Linked DNA regions of Saccharomyces cerevisiae S288C. Changing the gene in region 2 together with the main gene of any one other region gives a genetic interaction. Each region holds a gene or a part of one and is shown on either strand. Other genes may lie near its edges.

Region 1 (3,776 bases), on a different chromosome or scaffold from region 2:
AACAACACAATCAGCTCAATGAATCCTGAAAGAGCTTACAACAATGTAACGCTGAAAAATTTAACAGCATTTCAGTTATTATCTCAAAGAGAAAACATATGCGAGTTATTGAACTTGGTAGAAAGTACGGAAAGACACAATAGTATTATCAATCCTGAAAGGCAAAGGATGAGTTTGGAAGAAATGAAAAAAATGCTCGATGCTTTGAAAAATGAAAGGAAAAAGTAGGAAAACGCAACATTCACAATTGTAAGCTACAAAATATTGAATGTGAATCCTGCTTCATTACAAATGAAGAATTTCAAAGCGTATCTAGTTCACCAAAAGTCACAATATCTTATTATTATTTGGAAGCTTTTATATGCATCTAATGGTCATAAATCCCATCTCACTTTATAAAACAAGTTACCGCGAATGTATCCAGTGATACAGAATAGAGTGTAACAAATGAGAATAAAAATACCATATTATCGTTTAATTTTGGTAGGGTACGCTAAAATAAAGTGGTGTTTGCGTCTCCATATAACTAAAAAGAATTGAAATGGCCTACTATCGATTAGACTATTCAGGCATGGAAGCAGTAAGAACATTTCTTGATTTTGGAAAAATGAGATTAGATTATTAATTATTGTGTTTGTGTATATAATTTATTTTGCATATTTCATAAAGAAATTAAAATTAGATTATTAAATATTAAGTTTCATTAGTGACATTAAAAGAAGAAAACTGATGTTTTGAAATGTGTTAAGCAAAGAATGATTAAGACAATCTCAAGCTGCTCTAAGCAGTATCTTCGACAGCTTGCTCTGCTTCAGGTTCGGGTTCGTGGATTGCAGTCTCTCCAGATGCTCTTGGGCTCTCTGGAACAGCTTCTTTTGTTTCAGGAGCCGCATCTTCCACATCGTCCGTAGCATGGTGATGAGAGAATCCTCCTGTCAAAGATAGCCTTGGCAATTTGCCATCACGGCTGACTGCAATTAGCAAGTAACATGGATAAATGGCAAATACACATAAATCCAAAACACCATAAAAGATAGCCTCACCGTCTGGTTGAATACGGTTACCACCATCACTTAGACCCCAACAGATAAAGTACAACCAAACGATTACCATGCAGGTACACAGCATAAGTGCATTGAACCCTCTAGTTTTCAAATTGAAGAATTGACGTTGGCATATCACACCTTGGGTAACCAACATAGCGACAGCACCAATGGTGTAATAACCCCACTTGTAGGTGGACTTGATCAATGAACCAACTAATAGCGAAACAACCCAGAATAAGGTACCCACGATTTGAATTAACAGCGAATGTACCATATCCAAGGCGGAAATGTCGTCATTCTCACCAGTAGTACTAGCGGCTAACTCGATTAAAAATAAAAGGCATGGCCAGGACAAGAACCAGGCAATATATTTCGAGTAAAAGATTTGTCTAATACCGGGAACTTCACCTGTGATAGACTTGCTAACCTTGACGTGGTTAAATTCAGCTTGAACACCAGTCCAACCTAAATCAGAAGCATAAGTGAAGAAAGCAAAAAATTCAAAGAAAGTGATCAAAAATGCAGGAGCTAAGGCATATCTAGTCAATCTGGAGCCCTTGTTCTCCGCAATGAAGAACATCACAACATAGCATAGCAATATAAAGCCAAAGACTGCAAACACTGCCCATAACCAATCCGAACCTCTCTTGGTAATGTGCATATCCAGGCCATGTGGTGGATTAAGCCCTAAAGCCTCGTTACGATTTAAAAAGCTTGATAGCGTATCGTTCATTTGAAATTTGTTGTTTTTAGTAATCAAAAGATATTAAAGTCTCAAACTTGTTGTTTTGTTTTTGTAATTATAAATAATAATAATTGAGTTAATATTTGTTGTTGTGTTGTATTGCAGAATGTAAAAACAAGAAACAAGATTAGAAAGTGAATAGGTGTTACGCTAAATAATTGAAGACTCTCACAGACTTATATATGATTTTTTTAGTGTGATACAACTTGTAATGAGGTAAGGGATTGATATTATACTTTCTAACTGATGATGAATATGAAAACTTTGGCCAATTAGGGAGAGGAAAGTTTTCGATGAGATGCTAGAAAAAAACTTGTCCTTGCCATAGCAGAAAGGGATGATGAAATAACGAAGATGAGCTAATTTGGTATTCGAATAAACATGCAGGATGTGGCGGAAGGGATCGGAATAAGAGTCGGGATCGGGATCGGGATATGGCTTTGCTTACTTTAGCCATACCAAATATTCTTACAAAGCACGCTTTCGATGCGTTTTTGCCTTCTGAGAGAATCCTCCTACGGCTCGACCCTTGAAAAATTCTAGAGGATCTGGAAAATGGCCAACAAAATCGCGCAGGGAGACGCAAGGAAAGTAAGTCAGATGGATCCGACTGTATGTAACAAGGGTTGCTGCAGCGGTTTTCCATCCCTTTCGGCACCCTGCACAAGTAGTTATTCTTACTTATGCAAAACGGATATGAGCTACATAGCGTTCATTTTTTAGGTTTTCAGAAGCTATTACAACGCAGTAAAAAGGATACACAACTTTCTTACGGGGAAGAAGAATACGGCTCAATGCACCCACTTCAACCCCCGGTATCACGCGGCACTAAAGTTGTTTGATTGTAATAGTAATACTGCTGTTGAGGTTTTCTTCTTCAGGGCTGCTCACAACGTGATATATTTGAATTGACAGGACGTATTCAGCGCAGTTGAGGAAAATTAACATATGACATGCGCAGGAAATAAGTGCTCAAGTTTTCTACTTTTGAAGAAAGGACTTTGGTTTACTTGCCTACTATCTCCATGTCAAGTACTCGGTTGTATGATGTTAAGGAGCGCAGGGAACACTAATCGATAAAAAACCCTTATTGGCTATTACTAAATGTAACGGCCGTGCTCTAGTGAAATTTGTATAGAAAAATGGGTTCTCTCGCTCAAAATGGGCGCCATTACTTGTCTGGTCAAATTGAGTTCCTGGATATAATTACATAAACGGATTGAAATTTACATAAGGAGTATAATAATTCCGGAAACTATCTTGAGTGCAATGCCATCACGCGGCCATGCCTTGACATAACATGCTCTCATCAAAAAGGTGCAAATTTTCGCCAGTTATGGTTGATATCTAAAATCTACTGGAGTTCATTTTTTTTTTTATTAGATATCCTTTTTGCAAGCCTTCTGAAAAAAAATTTCTCATGTGGTACAGCGTTGGTTACTTAAGCTGCTTAAACTAGATCGATGAGCCATTCTTAAATCAGAAGACTGTGACTGCGAATTGTAGGCATCTTCACTACCCTGTCCATGAAGCTCATTTTCGTTATCATCAATTGGTGCTATCTTATAACTTTGATAAAGAGCTACCATACAAAAAAGACTTAACGACCACCAACTGACCCAGGCGACGTCATTTTGCTGGGACCAAGACATAATATAGCCCCATACTAAGGGACCTATGAAACGAGCAGAGGCAGAAATACTAATGGTGGCGCCATTGATGACTGATCTACAACTCAAGGGACTCGAATTATGAATTAATAACATAATTTGTGGTGACGTTAAAGCGCCACAAAATGTTTTTATCCCTGTGATTATGTACAAGTAGACGACAGTATACCAGCTAGGAATCCGTTCATTCTGTAGAAAAACAACGTAAGGAACCATAACGTACATAATAGGGTACAGCTTGACTAAAGTTCTGAAAATTGTTAAACAATCGAAATTTCGATCAACTATGGGAAAAATGAAAATAACCACAAAACA
Region 2 (6,459 bases):
ACACTTTGAGACCTATACTAATATGCGATAGACACGATATCAGCTTAGAAGGAAACGAACTTTATCCATTATCGTACAAGCCTCAACATACTCTGTCATACATAGAACAATACTGCAGATATTATAAGTGCGAATCTGACCATAGTCTAGTGGAGTTGAGATATTTTGAACAGCTTAGACTGCGACACGGCGAAATGCCAGGAAACTCACACGACTCTGCTATTAAACCCAAAATTTACGTACTTCCTTTCGAAAGGACTTGCCCACATTGTGGTACAAACAAAAGTTTATACTGGTATGAAGATATTATTTGCCATTCTTGCAATTTGAGATCAGGTGCCCAAGAACTCGATTTTGATAGCGCATCTGCTAATATCTCTAACGATAACGGTTTACCAGTCGAAATTACCCAGCAATTGATGGAAGGAATTGAGCCAGCTATGTTTGATATCGATATTTCAGAAGCTGGTACCGACAAAAATACGCATCCATCAAGCCAGTAAGTGATAGTTACCTTAGATAGAAAGTATGGTCCAATCTTGCGCGGCTTTGTTGTGTTATTTTTTTCCATTATGCTTACAATGAATAATCTTATCCTATTTATGAATACTACAATTTACCATCAGTTACAAAGGAAGTTTTTTATATATTAATTTGGGGCAGGTGTTACTGTTCTTGAGGTTTGGCCCACTATATCTTTTAATTTATCGTCTACTGTTTCAATGACACCACTCCTTTTATTACCAGATGCATTTTTGCGAAGTGAGGAACCCCATATCGAATTTGCTAAAACGTTTTTCCAAGCTATCACATCTTCCATAGCTTTAAAATGTCTATAATTGACTAAGTCAGTCAATATTTCAATCTGCTTATTCACCTTATTACCACGGGAGATTTTGGTTCTTTTCCTTTCTGAACGGGCTAAAATCCTCGCGCCTGGCCTCTGCGAATTTATTATGGATTTTTTCTGTTCCAAGAGTTCATCTCTCTGATCTTCTAATTCTTGTATTCTATTAAGAACATTGCGTGTTTTCGAGCTATCATCTAGCTTCATGAGTTCGTCTGCAATCACCTCCAACTTTTCGTCTATCACAGCTTCTCTCTTCTCTTCGGCATCAACCTGTACATCAACCTCACTTTTAACACCGCTATTTTTATCATCAACATCCATACTATCAACGTTCAATTCGTTTTCGGTAAATTCATTATTTTCTAACTCCTTTAGCAACTTTTCTTCATTTTTGGTGAATGCTGTCAGTGACAGCGCATGGTCGCGCAAGCTAAGGGAACTTTTAATTCGTTCCATTATGGGTCTGATTTGCCTCAAGAGATCATGCTCTTTGCGACCCCAATTATCTAACCAGTCCATTATTCTTGACAAGTCCTCTAACTTGTCAATGCAATACCATTGATCTGGTGATAGTAGCAACCTTGAAGGTGTTTCATCCATAATTTTCTTTTGAATAGGTGTCAGCTCTATAAGTGGGTTTACGCGATCATTACTGTCCAATAGTTCGACCTCTATTCCATTTTCTACGTAATTATAAGATCCGGAACTAGTTTTGGAGATACCAAATACTTCCCTAGTTGCCTCGGATATTCCTTCGGAATTTCTGATTTTTTGCCAATTGCTCAATTGCTCATCACTGACGTTCAAAAAGAATTTCGCCGATGATGCTTTAGGTCCCTGAATTAATAAACGACCGGAGTGATAACTCAAACTATTGTTACTTTTCGGCGTCTCATTCATACCAGCAGGATATTGAGGAAATGGAACACCATTGTGATCCAGCCAAAAATACCTGTTCCCGTATCGATCCAATCCCAACGGCTTTAATCTTTGTAGATCGTTTTCAAATAGACAATTATCGAGGAAATTTTTATCTGATTGTAAAGCTTGTACCTTTTTATCCTGCTCTTCAATTAACTTTTGCTTTTTCTCAATGATAATAAGATCAATTGGTTCACTATTTGATTCGGAATCATCTTTTTTATCGGCACCATCGGCTGATGGTGTGTTTTCATCTGTTTTATTTAACTTCTCTTGAATTGCCTGCAGGTCGCCTTGAAGATTACTTAAGACGGCTGCCTCCGTTTTCAACTCTCTCGCAACTTTGAATCTTTCGCTACGAATTTGACCACATAGTTCCATGGAATCATCTACAGCAGCTTTGATATCTGGAGAAAAATGCGATACGAGATCTACAAGTATCCACAGCGCATTGACTTTGTCACTGAACGACAGCTTTCGACAGAAATTTCTCCAAAGCTGTTTGGGCAATTGAGTAGCTGATATATCTTTGGGTATGATCTTTTCTATGAAAGAATCAATAAACTCTGTATACATGGGAAGATGTCTACAATCTTCTAAGACTCCCAGTAAAATTATTAGCCAGTAACTGTTATTAAATTGCCTTTTCGTCAAGCGTTCTATCCAGTTAACATTGCGGTAGTTCAAACACTTTTCTAATTTAGGATCTCGTTCTTCACTGTCAGAATCAGATTTAGAATCAGATTCTGAATTTGTTTCGTTTTTAGCGTCTGATTCTTTTTGAACTTCTGTTGCGTTTTCCTTTAATGTGTCCTTTAGGTTGTCGATCTTTTCCTTATCTTGTAAAAAGTATCCGTGAGCATTTCGTTTTTGCTTCGCCTCCCCCTCCCCTCTTTCATCTTTTCTCTCCATAAGGACTCCCTTGTCGTCTATTATCCAGTTTTCAACGACGATGCAACTCCAATCGCCTTCTTCGTTGATGAACAAACGTAAGAGCGCAGTAAAAACTTCAATGAGAAGAGCAGACCCATTATGATTGATATTATCAAGTATATCATCGGATGCTGGGTCATCGTGAACAATCTTGTACTCAACCTTGTCGGAATTTCTTTTCATTATCATATCACGAATAAATGAATTTCTTTGCCAGTCACTTGGGTTTTCAGAGTCTTCCTCAGTAGTAGTCTCTGCTTTGTTTTTCATCGGCAGGCCGTTATTTTCAATTTCTTGTTCTTTAGACGTTTGCGTTCTTATGTTCACTAAAACAACTTCGCCCTTTAACTCATATGGGTCTGTACATTTCAAAGAAGTAATGAATTGGTCAAGGCTAAAATGAGAGAGACAAATTTTCGAACCAAACGTATTCAGAAACTGATAGGCTTGTAATAGCTTTCCAAAAGAATCAAAAGGTCTGGAAAGTTTTGTAGAACCTAATGAAATACATTCTAATTTTTCATTATAATACGTTAAGTTTGGAAAGATGTTCGGTGGATGTTGATATGGCAAAGCTAGGTCATCCATTATGCTCGTTATTGTTACAGCCTGAGGCTCCGCATTAGCTGGTGTAGGAACGCTTTCGACGTTTTCCGTGTTCGGTTCCTCATTGGCTTCCTTTTTCCTTTTTTTAGAATGTGTTTCTGATGTGACATTTTGACCCTTCTTCTTGTCTTCTTCCGAAGAATTATTCTCAGAATCATTTACTTCGGTTGGCTTTCTTTTTTTCTTGGTTTCTTTTTTGTTAGAAGCATCGTTTGAGGTGTTACTTTTACCCGATGATTTACTTTGACGTTTATTCTTTTCACTTTCTGGGGATGAAACATTGGCACTGTTGGAACGTCTTGCTACGACAGGTTCATCTTCTTTATATTTTAACATATCTTTTGGCCATTCCATCGTTAAACCATACATCGCTAAATATTCCGGTTTGACACACCAAGGTGCACCCATTTTCGAAGATGCCCTCTGTAAAGTAATCTTGAAAAAACATTTGATTAAGTGCTTAGTGAAAGTGGAACGGTCCCTGTAAATTTGTCCTTGATCAACAATGAAGGATTTATTACTGGAAGCTGCTTCTTCTATCAGCATGTATTTAGTATGAGCGGGCATCACAATTTCCCTGCTCTCTGGATTTATCGTTGCGTTAAATTGGACCTTTTCTTTGATAACATAACGTCTTTGGTATTGGTACTGCGGTAAGCCAGGATTACCAACACTGTTGATTTCGACCATATCATCAGGTTGAGGAGTACTTTGTTGGGAATTAGAGCTTGTGGTAGAAGAGTCTTTCTGTTTACGTAGATAAACAACTTCTCCTGGGAAAAAGTCATTTTTAAATCTTGCGTAAACTTTCTCCACCAATGCATCTAACCTTCTTATTCCGTTAAAATGTAAAAATCTTGCAACTGGTTCTCTCAACTTTAATGGGAATCTGTCTTCGACGTATTTGAATTGTGTCTCCTCACTATCCAGAGCTTGGAAAAAAGTCAGGCAAGAAGTACCAGTGATTTCGCATGTAAAATGGTGGCGTGTGTAGAAATCAAACCTTTCTAAAAATTCTTCGTAACTAGAAAACCATTCTCCAGTCTCTTCAATATGCCATACTTGTACATTCAAATCCAATGGTAAAGGTTTTGGATCAGGAAGTAATATAGGTTTCCTTTTATATAACACCATTGTTTATTAACGGCTTTCTTTACTTCCTCCTATTGTTATTTTCTTTTTTTATATATCTTCAATGGAAGTGCTATAGTAATTGTAAAAATCTGGATATATCTGCCTATTTCCAACAGTAATTGAGTGTGATGTATCTAATGTCAGTTGAATTGTTTACAGCCTTTTAAATAGTTATGTATTTAACCCAATATATGTTTTTCTGAATTTTTTCAGGAGAAATACAAAGAAAAGAAGAAGAGCAAGAAAGAGGATTTTTCTGATCGGTATTATCCTTTTTATTTTTTTTCTATTTCTACACTTTTTTTCCTCTATAATTTTCCTTTATTATTTTTCATTTCGGGTTTTCTCACCACGTTAAAAATGGATAATAAACTTAAAAGAAATAAAACCATGAAATATTTCTATTTTAAGGTTAGACAATACAGAAGGGACAGAGAAAGATGTGTAGGCAAATATACATTTGTTTGAACCATAGATTCAACAGTAATTTAATGCGAGTAAAAAAATCACATTTTTATGTGCGTTTCGAGAGCATCAATTAAGAATCCGGGATAACTGTTGGGAAGCTCTGAAGTTTTCTCCAATATCGAGTACAGGTTTCCACCATTGCACGGAAATATAAACAGACTAAGTTTGTCGTTGTTTTATTGAGAAATTGTTTGTATCATATTACCAGTGCCGCTATTGACTGGAAAGCATTCGTTACGTTCGTTAAAATAATTATCTAAAATACTTGTATCAACTATACACAGAAGGACCGTAGTTCATTCAAAAGTAATTTGGAGGCGGCTAATTTCCTGTTACTGACCATTAATTTAGTATTGCACACACAGATCAATAGACTGACTTCTAATTTAGTCAAAAGCCGTTTCGAAATACCGCATACTTTACTAAAATATTCATGTGAGTGAACGAAATCTTCCAATAATTTCGTGCTCAATCTAACCGCTGCTATTATCATTCGATGGACCTCCTTTTCCTGTAAGTTTAACTTCAACTGCAAAATGTTATTGCCATCCCTTGTTAAAAACAACGTGTCAATTAAAAATGTTGCCACAAGGTAAACAGTTGGCTGGTACTCACATTTGTCTTGGATTCTCTTGAGAAAATCTGCTGATGATAAGGTGGGTTTACTTTTCATGTAGAAATTCGAGTATTCTTTTTTCTCCACTCTAGTATTGAAACCGGTACACTTTCTATTGCCACTAAGTTTTAGTAGTAGTTCTATGGTTTCCTTGAAATTCGCCAGAGCTTCATCAACCGATATGTGGGGCACTTCTACATCAACCGGTATGCCATGTAGCAACGGGTTTTCACTTTCGGACTTAGTTTTTTCTTGATCTTCTTCTTCATCGTGTGGTAGACTGATATGCAACCCTCCCATATCAAAGCTTGTAATGCTGCTACATTCAGAAAAAATGGAGTCATCAATATCTTGCTCCTCCACATCCGTAGCATCGCCAATTTCGAAACTGGCAGTTGGAGATTTGAAGAGTGGTGATCTACGGCGAGGTATGCTTAGCCCGTTTTGTTGATGGAAAAGATCTTTATCAAAAATAGAACTTGTGCAACCCGTGGTATCCTCTAGCTCATCATCACTTAGTTCAAAATTGGACGTTGAGCTAAAATTAGTGCCATTAATACACGCGCTCGAATCATCACCCATGGAACTATATAATCCTTTCCCTCCATTCAATAGCCCCACCTGAAAATTGTTTATGTTCTCTATATTCTGCGCCAAATAATTATTCATTTCATTAGCGGATTCCAACAGTTGCTCTACATGTATTCTATTTTTTGAACTATCTGTTGTACCGCATGGCTGTGCTTTCTCAGTCTTGCCTTCTGCAAGACCAGGCGTATTTGATCTAGACTGGTCCCATTCACTTGTTAAATCTGAGAAATTCTCACTCTGTAAAAACTTTGGTTTCAAAGGTAATTCGAACGAAGCGTTATAATCGTCCACAATTCCCAAACTGACTGGACGTATATCACCATCATCAAACTCCTCTGTG
Region 3 (5,936 bases), on a different chromosome or scaffold from region 2:
GAAAATGACGATAACGGTGATGATGATGACAGCTTACTGATAGACGATACTGTGGATGATTTTGTATACACGCTTGGAGAAACAGTTCGGTTCTTCAAAGATGTTGGTAGTGTGTATATAGAGGCCTCGCTTCGCCTCATCGACAGCGATGGTGGCGTTGGCCTTGGACTTACTTTTGGTGGACATTTCTCCAACACAATAGGTTTGGGCTTCATAAATAGATTCAAAGGTGTCGGCGATGGGAATTTTACTGAACCTGGCACATCTTGGCTTGGCGATGAGAATTCCATTAATGGATGGAGTGCTGCTATATCTAAAGATAAATTTTTGGTATTCCTATTTTGTAAGGAACGCGGTGAGTTTGGCTTGAAATCGATGTCGGTTTTACTGTCCAAATGCTGCTTATCTGAGTGAAATTGCATGTGCACTTATCGCTACCAAATGTATTACTATCGCTTCCGCTACTATTGTTGTCTTATACTTAAATGAAGAAAAAAAAAAGAATGTTTACTAAACGAGTTGCATAACCCTCACTCTTGTTTACTAAACGCTTTATTTAAAAGTAATAATAATGATATATTACACTGTATCGAATCCTATGTAACATTTTTGTATTTTTTCACTTCTAAATTTGAAATAGTCAAAGAGAAAAAAACATCAAAAAACAAACTACATTTTCCTTTTTTGGAAAGTACATTCCTGTTTTGGAAATTGCCTTCCGCTCCTGCGCTATAAAAAGAAAAATACCCAGCTTTGACGAAAAAGCTACATTCTTAACACTCACTTCTTACCAGGATGGACCATGGAATCCTTTTGAATAGCCGTAGATTTTTGCGTATTGAAAAAGGGCACCTCATACTTCATGCTTCCACGGACTATCAATTCGTAATCATGCTTGATTAGTAGCTTCCATTTTTTAGTATCATCTTCTTTGTCATCTCTAGCATTTGGTTTGCTTTTGTATTGTCTTTCATTAGTATTGTTTTCATCGTCACCATCGTCGCCATCATCATCGTCATCATCGTCGTTTTCGTGCTTGGCTTCACGAGACCCAGGACTTAAAAGCTTGACACTCGAGACTGACACATCGTAGTTCCTATTAAATGCGCCGCCCTGGAACTTTAATGGTGTCTCTAGTTTTTTAGCGGTTCCTAGTAATACCGTCTCTATGTTCCCACCACTAATATCATTATTAGCACTCTCTTCAACTAACGAAAGATTTGTCGTTATTTGTAAAATTTTCCGTTCCTGTTCCATTACTGTACAGTCACCATTAGAATCGCACTTCAGGTAAGAACTTTTTGCAAAAATGTCCAAATCGACTTGGGAAACGCTTATACTGAAGAATCCTGGATTAAAAGCACTTACTGTGATGTCGAAGATCAACTCGTCCGAACTTGAAATCACATTATCCATCACTACCACGTCTACATCTTGTAGTTCTTTATTAGTGGCCAATAAAAATCCCAGAATGAATCCTGTCATCAATAGTGATGATATAACAAATGCAAGATAAAGAAAATTCTTTACTTTCACAAATGGGGACTTCCTTGAGTAAAAGTTGTGCGGTGAGTAACCAACAATATCGTTATTATTGATATTGGAATGGGTAACGTCATCGTTACCATTCATATGGATGCTACCATTCATTATGCTATTGTTTGTTCTTGATAGGTGTCTTTGACCACGTTTCATTCTTAAGGGGGTATATTCATTCAATTGGTTGTTATTGCCAGTATTGTTGCCAACCATAAAATCGTAGTAATCATTATTTGATCTTGAAGGCATCCTTCCATGTAATGGAAGTTCGTGCGTGTTGGATGCTGAGCCATAGTAACTGTTGAAAGTAGCATTTGGGCGATCATAATCATCTACGTCTTCATCTTCACCATAATCGGATATTAGCGGTTTTGTTTCTAAATCGTTCTTATGATTATAATAAAACATGGAGTGAATATCGTTTTCATCACTTTCGTTATCTTCTGGAATAAACTCATGCTGAAGGTTAGTGTGTTGCGGTCGATTTACATTAGACGAGTCACCATTATTTTCCTCTTCAATAACATTGTTATCACCATAAAAGTTTAAACCATGGGGAAACTTATTGTTCCTGCTGTTATAAAATTCATCCTTTTTCACACTATTTTGCATTGTTGGATAATTATGCGGCTGTTCGATGTAATCTTCTAGATTAACGTGATCCGGTACCCCAGAGTATCTCCGTAAAGGAGCTCCATTAGGGTTTGAATCAAATATCTTTGACACTGTTGTTCTAAGAGGCCTTTTGTTGTCACCATAATTAGAATTTCTATTAGCAGAGGAATGTCTCAAAGTAGAATTGGAAAGAGATTTCTTCGTTGAAATATCATTGTTTGGTTCCAATTCCTGCGAATTTGTGGCAACATTGGGACACGATATTGTGTTACCGTTGCTTGATGTGGATGAAAGTAAATGTGGAGAAACTTTAGATAGGGATACTAAGCTTGACCTCTTATCAGGCGACTTGGCAATAACATTGCTGTCTGGGTTGTCAGAGGTATACGAATCTACCGATTGTACATCCATTGGTGGTTGCTGCTGCTGCAATTGATGCGGTGGCTCCTGTTTTATACTGCTCAACTCGTCCAGGTGATTGTGTCCCGACATCAGATTGTTATTGTTCTGCATCACATTAGAATTCAAGTTCGGATTTGTGCTTATAGTCGCGATTGTGTTATTCAATATGGCACCAGTGCTAATATGTCTTGAATTTTTCAGTCGGCTTAATAATTTTTTGTTATTGTTTAGCAATGGGGCGCTTATCTTTGAGGTTATTCCATGATTTTGTTGCTGTTGCTGTTGTTTTGGAGGTTGCTGTTGCTGCTGCTGCTGCTGGCTGGAGGAGTCAGGAAATATTAGGTTTTTAGTCGAATTAGCTGCCGATTCATAAACAAATGTTTCCTCAGAATCACTAATTTCATTTTCACCTACAGCTGTAGCCAGCCTTGCAGCGAAAAAATCCGCCTTTGTTGGTTTTTCTGAATTACTCTCATGTGAGTCGTCATTTATTGCATTATTGTTAGAGGTAGAAGCGCTCAAGTCGGCGTTAGAATTCTTGATATCGGCATTGGTTTTATTGGATGCACTATTACTGTTATTGCCGTTGTTGTTGCTGCTGGTTTTCTTCTTGTTATTATTGTGATTGTCAGCATTACTGCTGGAGACACTAGCAGTGAGAGCCTGAGTATTGTCTGTACTGCCCAAAGGTGCGGTTGAAGGCGCTGTTTTAGTAGATGTAGTGCATATTTTGCTGGTGTCATCATTACGTTCATTTTTCCCACTATTAATGTTTTTATTCTTCTTCATTTTGTTGTTATTTTCATTATCATCTGCGTTCGAGTGATTCGGTATACGCAGCCCATCATTTGCTACTGGACCATTATCGTGTGTGGTTGAATTCGCGGGAGCATTCTTCGCCTTTGTATCATCTAACAGGTTTTCACCTAAAAGTATTTCTCTTGAATTAGTGACGTGCATTGTGGGCCTCTCTATTATTTTTGGCTTATTTTGTTGTGATAGTGAAGGTAGAGGTAAAAGAGGAGCTGGAGGTGTATTCGAGCCGATGTTATTACTAGTGCTGGGTGCCGTGTTATTGGAGAAGGCCGAAGCCTTTCTGAACGCTTTAGATGCGGAAGTTGATGATGGACCATGAATATTCGCCGATCTCGCTGTTTGATAAAGGGCAATGTTACTTGTAGGCATATTATTGGAGATGACGGCAGGTTTCTTCTTCGAGAGTTCAACATCTGAAGCAAACGCAGGGTTAGAAGCTACCAACAAAGAGCTCTTCTTGTTTCGTAATGAAGATGACGGATTGGAAAGATGAGATGACAGAGGGTTGTGGTTGATTAGGGCATTGTTACTATTATTATTAGTTGATGAAACAGAGCCGATATGTTCTAAATGTAAATCTGTTGGGATATCACTCGTTGACATTGATGTTCCTGCCCTGTTTATGTCTGAATGCCAATGATCTTGATTATGTGACGTGGCATCGGAATCCATTAAATTGTTATCTATGGTGGGCAAATTATGCTGTACAACGTTGCTGGTGGTGTTAGCAGTAGCGACAGAATCATCAACTATTTCCCTGTGTAGCGGAGAGGTAGATGTGGAGGCAGAGGGAATAGAAGGATTAGGTGCTACTACATTACTGTTATTCGACAATAAAAGATTATTTGCCACGGGTGCCTCAACTGTTTCTGTCTCTACAGTGAGCTTTCTATCTTCTTCTGTCATCTAGCACGTTTCCCAAATGCTTTAACTTGCCTGAGATGAAACGATAAGGTGTATACAGGGCGATTTACACTATAATTTATGGAATATTTTCCTGTATCTACTTGATTTTAGTTGTAGAATTGAAGATCATTATGCAAAATCGAAGGGGATACCCGTCGCAGAAACCACCCAACGAATTTTCTAAAGCGGAAATGCCTAAGAACAAAGAAATAAGAAGAACGAATCAATATATTGCACTACAATATATCACAAAGAGTGGCCAGGAAGACTTACAAGGTCTAAATTTAAGAGGGATTAACGTTTTTTCAAGTTATGTACATCTTTATGTAAACGTAAAATCTAATTTTGTGTCTGTCTGAGGACGGGAGGGGCAGTCTTGTGCGACGACAATTATCTGAAAAATCTGCACATTTGGACTGCAATGTGTATCTCGTGTCTAACAGTCCAACTTTGGTGCTGAATTAACTTCATGAATGACCTCTTAATGATTTAGCGAAGGGAAATTAGAGGACAAGATCTCGCCGCGTGTATAGATATATACATATATATTATCCAAGATTGGAATGAATTTCGCCGCCCCTGCTCACCGACATCGAGACCAGTACGGTGCCTTCGCTAACCAATGTTGGACATAAAGCTTAAACCAGGGCTGATGATTTGCAACCAAAACGGAACGTAAACCTTACACCACTTTTACAGTTTTTTGTTGTAGTTAGAACAAAAGTGAGTAAGTACTCACCGTTTCTGCCGCGCGGCGAACTTACTTACCCAAATATTAATGGAACTTCCGATCCAAACTTCAACTTGTCTTTCACCTCTACGTATCTAATCTTACAGTGAAGTTTCCTAGAAGACTACCATTTATATATGTGGTTGTTGTTACAGCTTTGGACTGTGTGTCTTCGTTCGTTTACATATAGTTTGCAATTGTCCTTCCAAAAAACTACTAACGTTATCCTTGTGACGTTGTTGCTATAGCGTAACGTGCGTCACTAGTCTTCGATTAGTATTCCGTGATAGTTTTGAGAAATGGGTGAATGTTGAGATAATTGTTGGGATTCCATTGTTGATAAAGGCTATAATATTAGGTATACAGAATATACTAGAAGTTCTCCTCGAGGATTTAGGAATCCATAAAAGGAAATCTGTAATTCTACACAATTCTATAAATATTATTATCATCGTTTTATATGTTAATATTCATTGATCCTATTACATTATCAATCCTTGCGTTTCAGCTTCCACTAATTTAGATGACTATTTCTCATCATTTGCGTCATCTTCTAACACCGTATATGATAATATACTAGTAACGTAAATACTAGTTAGTAGATGATAGTTGATTTTTATTCCAACATACCACCCATAATGTAATAGATCTAATGAATCCATTTGTTAGTTAATAGTTTAAATGTTTTTATCGGAAGAGGTTTTGTCATCACATCAGCAATGTTCTTCTTGGTCTCGATGTAGTATACGTATAAATTATTACCTGATACTTCATCTCTAAGTCTCATTGCCTTTGTGCCAAAAAATCTGTTTCTAAATTTCTCTTCATTTGTAGACTTAATTATACTGATCGTTGATCTACTATCAGTAAGTAAGCCTTTAATAATTGGTTTCTTGTTAAGTTCTTGCACAAGGTGACTGAGGTTATT

Evidence for each region.
Region 1: mutations in ITC1 (region 2) and HSP30 together harm fitness more than expected from each alone (negative genetic interaction), as found in Saccharomyces cerevisiae (one large-scale study listed by BioGRID).
Region 3: mutations in ITC1 (region 2) and VAC7 together harm fitness more than expected from each alone (negative genetic interaction), as found in Saccharomyces cerevisiae (one large-scale study listed by BioGRID).

The regions. Positions count from the first base shown.
Region 1 is NC_001135.5:155,329-159,104, forward strand, and holds HSP30 (Hsp30p), read right to left. Parts: upstream 1,780-3,776; coding exon 781-1,779; downstream 1-780. Other genes in the region: HTL1 (Htl1p), read left to right, coding at 1-228; YCR022C (uncharacterized protein), read right to left, coding at 2,093-2,437; YCR023C (uncharacterized protein), read right to left, coding at 3,210-3,776. UniProt on the Saccharomyces cerevisiae protein: Probably cooperates with other heat shock proteins in the translocation of polypeptides through membranes. It may counteract the altering effect of heat shock on the plasma membrane.
Region 2 is NC_001139.9:255,692-262,150, reverse strand, and holds ITC1 (Itc1p), read right to left. Parts: upstream 4,445-6,459; coding exon 650-4,444; downstream 1-649. Other genes in the region: DNA-binding E3 ubiquitin-protein ligase SNT2, read left to right, coding at 1-503; PCL10 (Pcl10p), read right to left, coding at 5,187-6,459. UniProt on the Saccharomyces cerevisiae protein: Functions as a component of the ISW2 complex, which acts in remodeling the chromatin by catalyzing an ATP-dependent alteration in the structure of nucleosomal DNA.
Region 3 is NC_001146.8:524,428-530,363, reverse strand, and holds VAC7 (Vac7p), read right to left. Parts: upstream 4,279-5,936; coding exon 781-4,278; downstream 1-780. Other genes in the region: tyrosine/serine/threonine protein phosphatase MSG5, read right to left, coding at 1-422. UniProt on the Saccharomyces cerevisiae protein: The PI(3,5)P2 regulatory complex regulates both the synthesis and turnover of phosphatidylinositol 3,5-bisphosphate (PtdIns(3,5)P2). Positively regulates FAB1 kinase activity.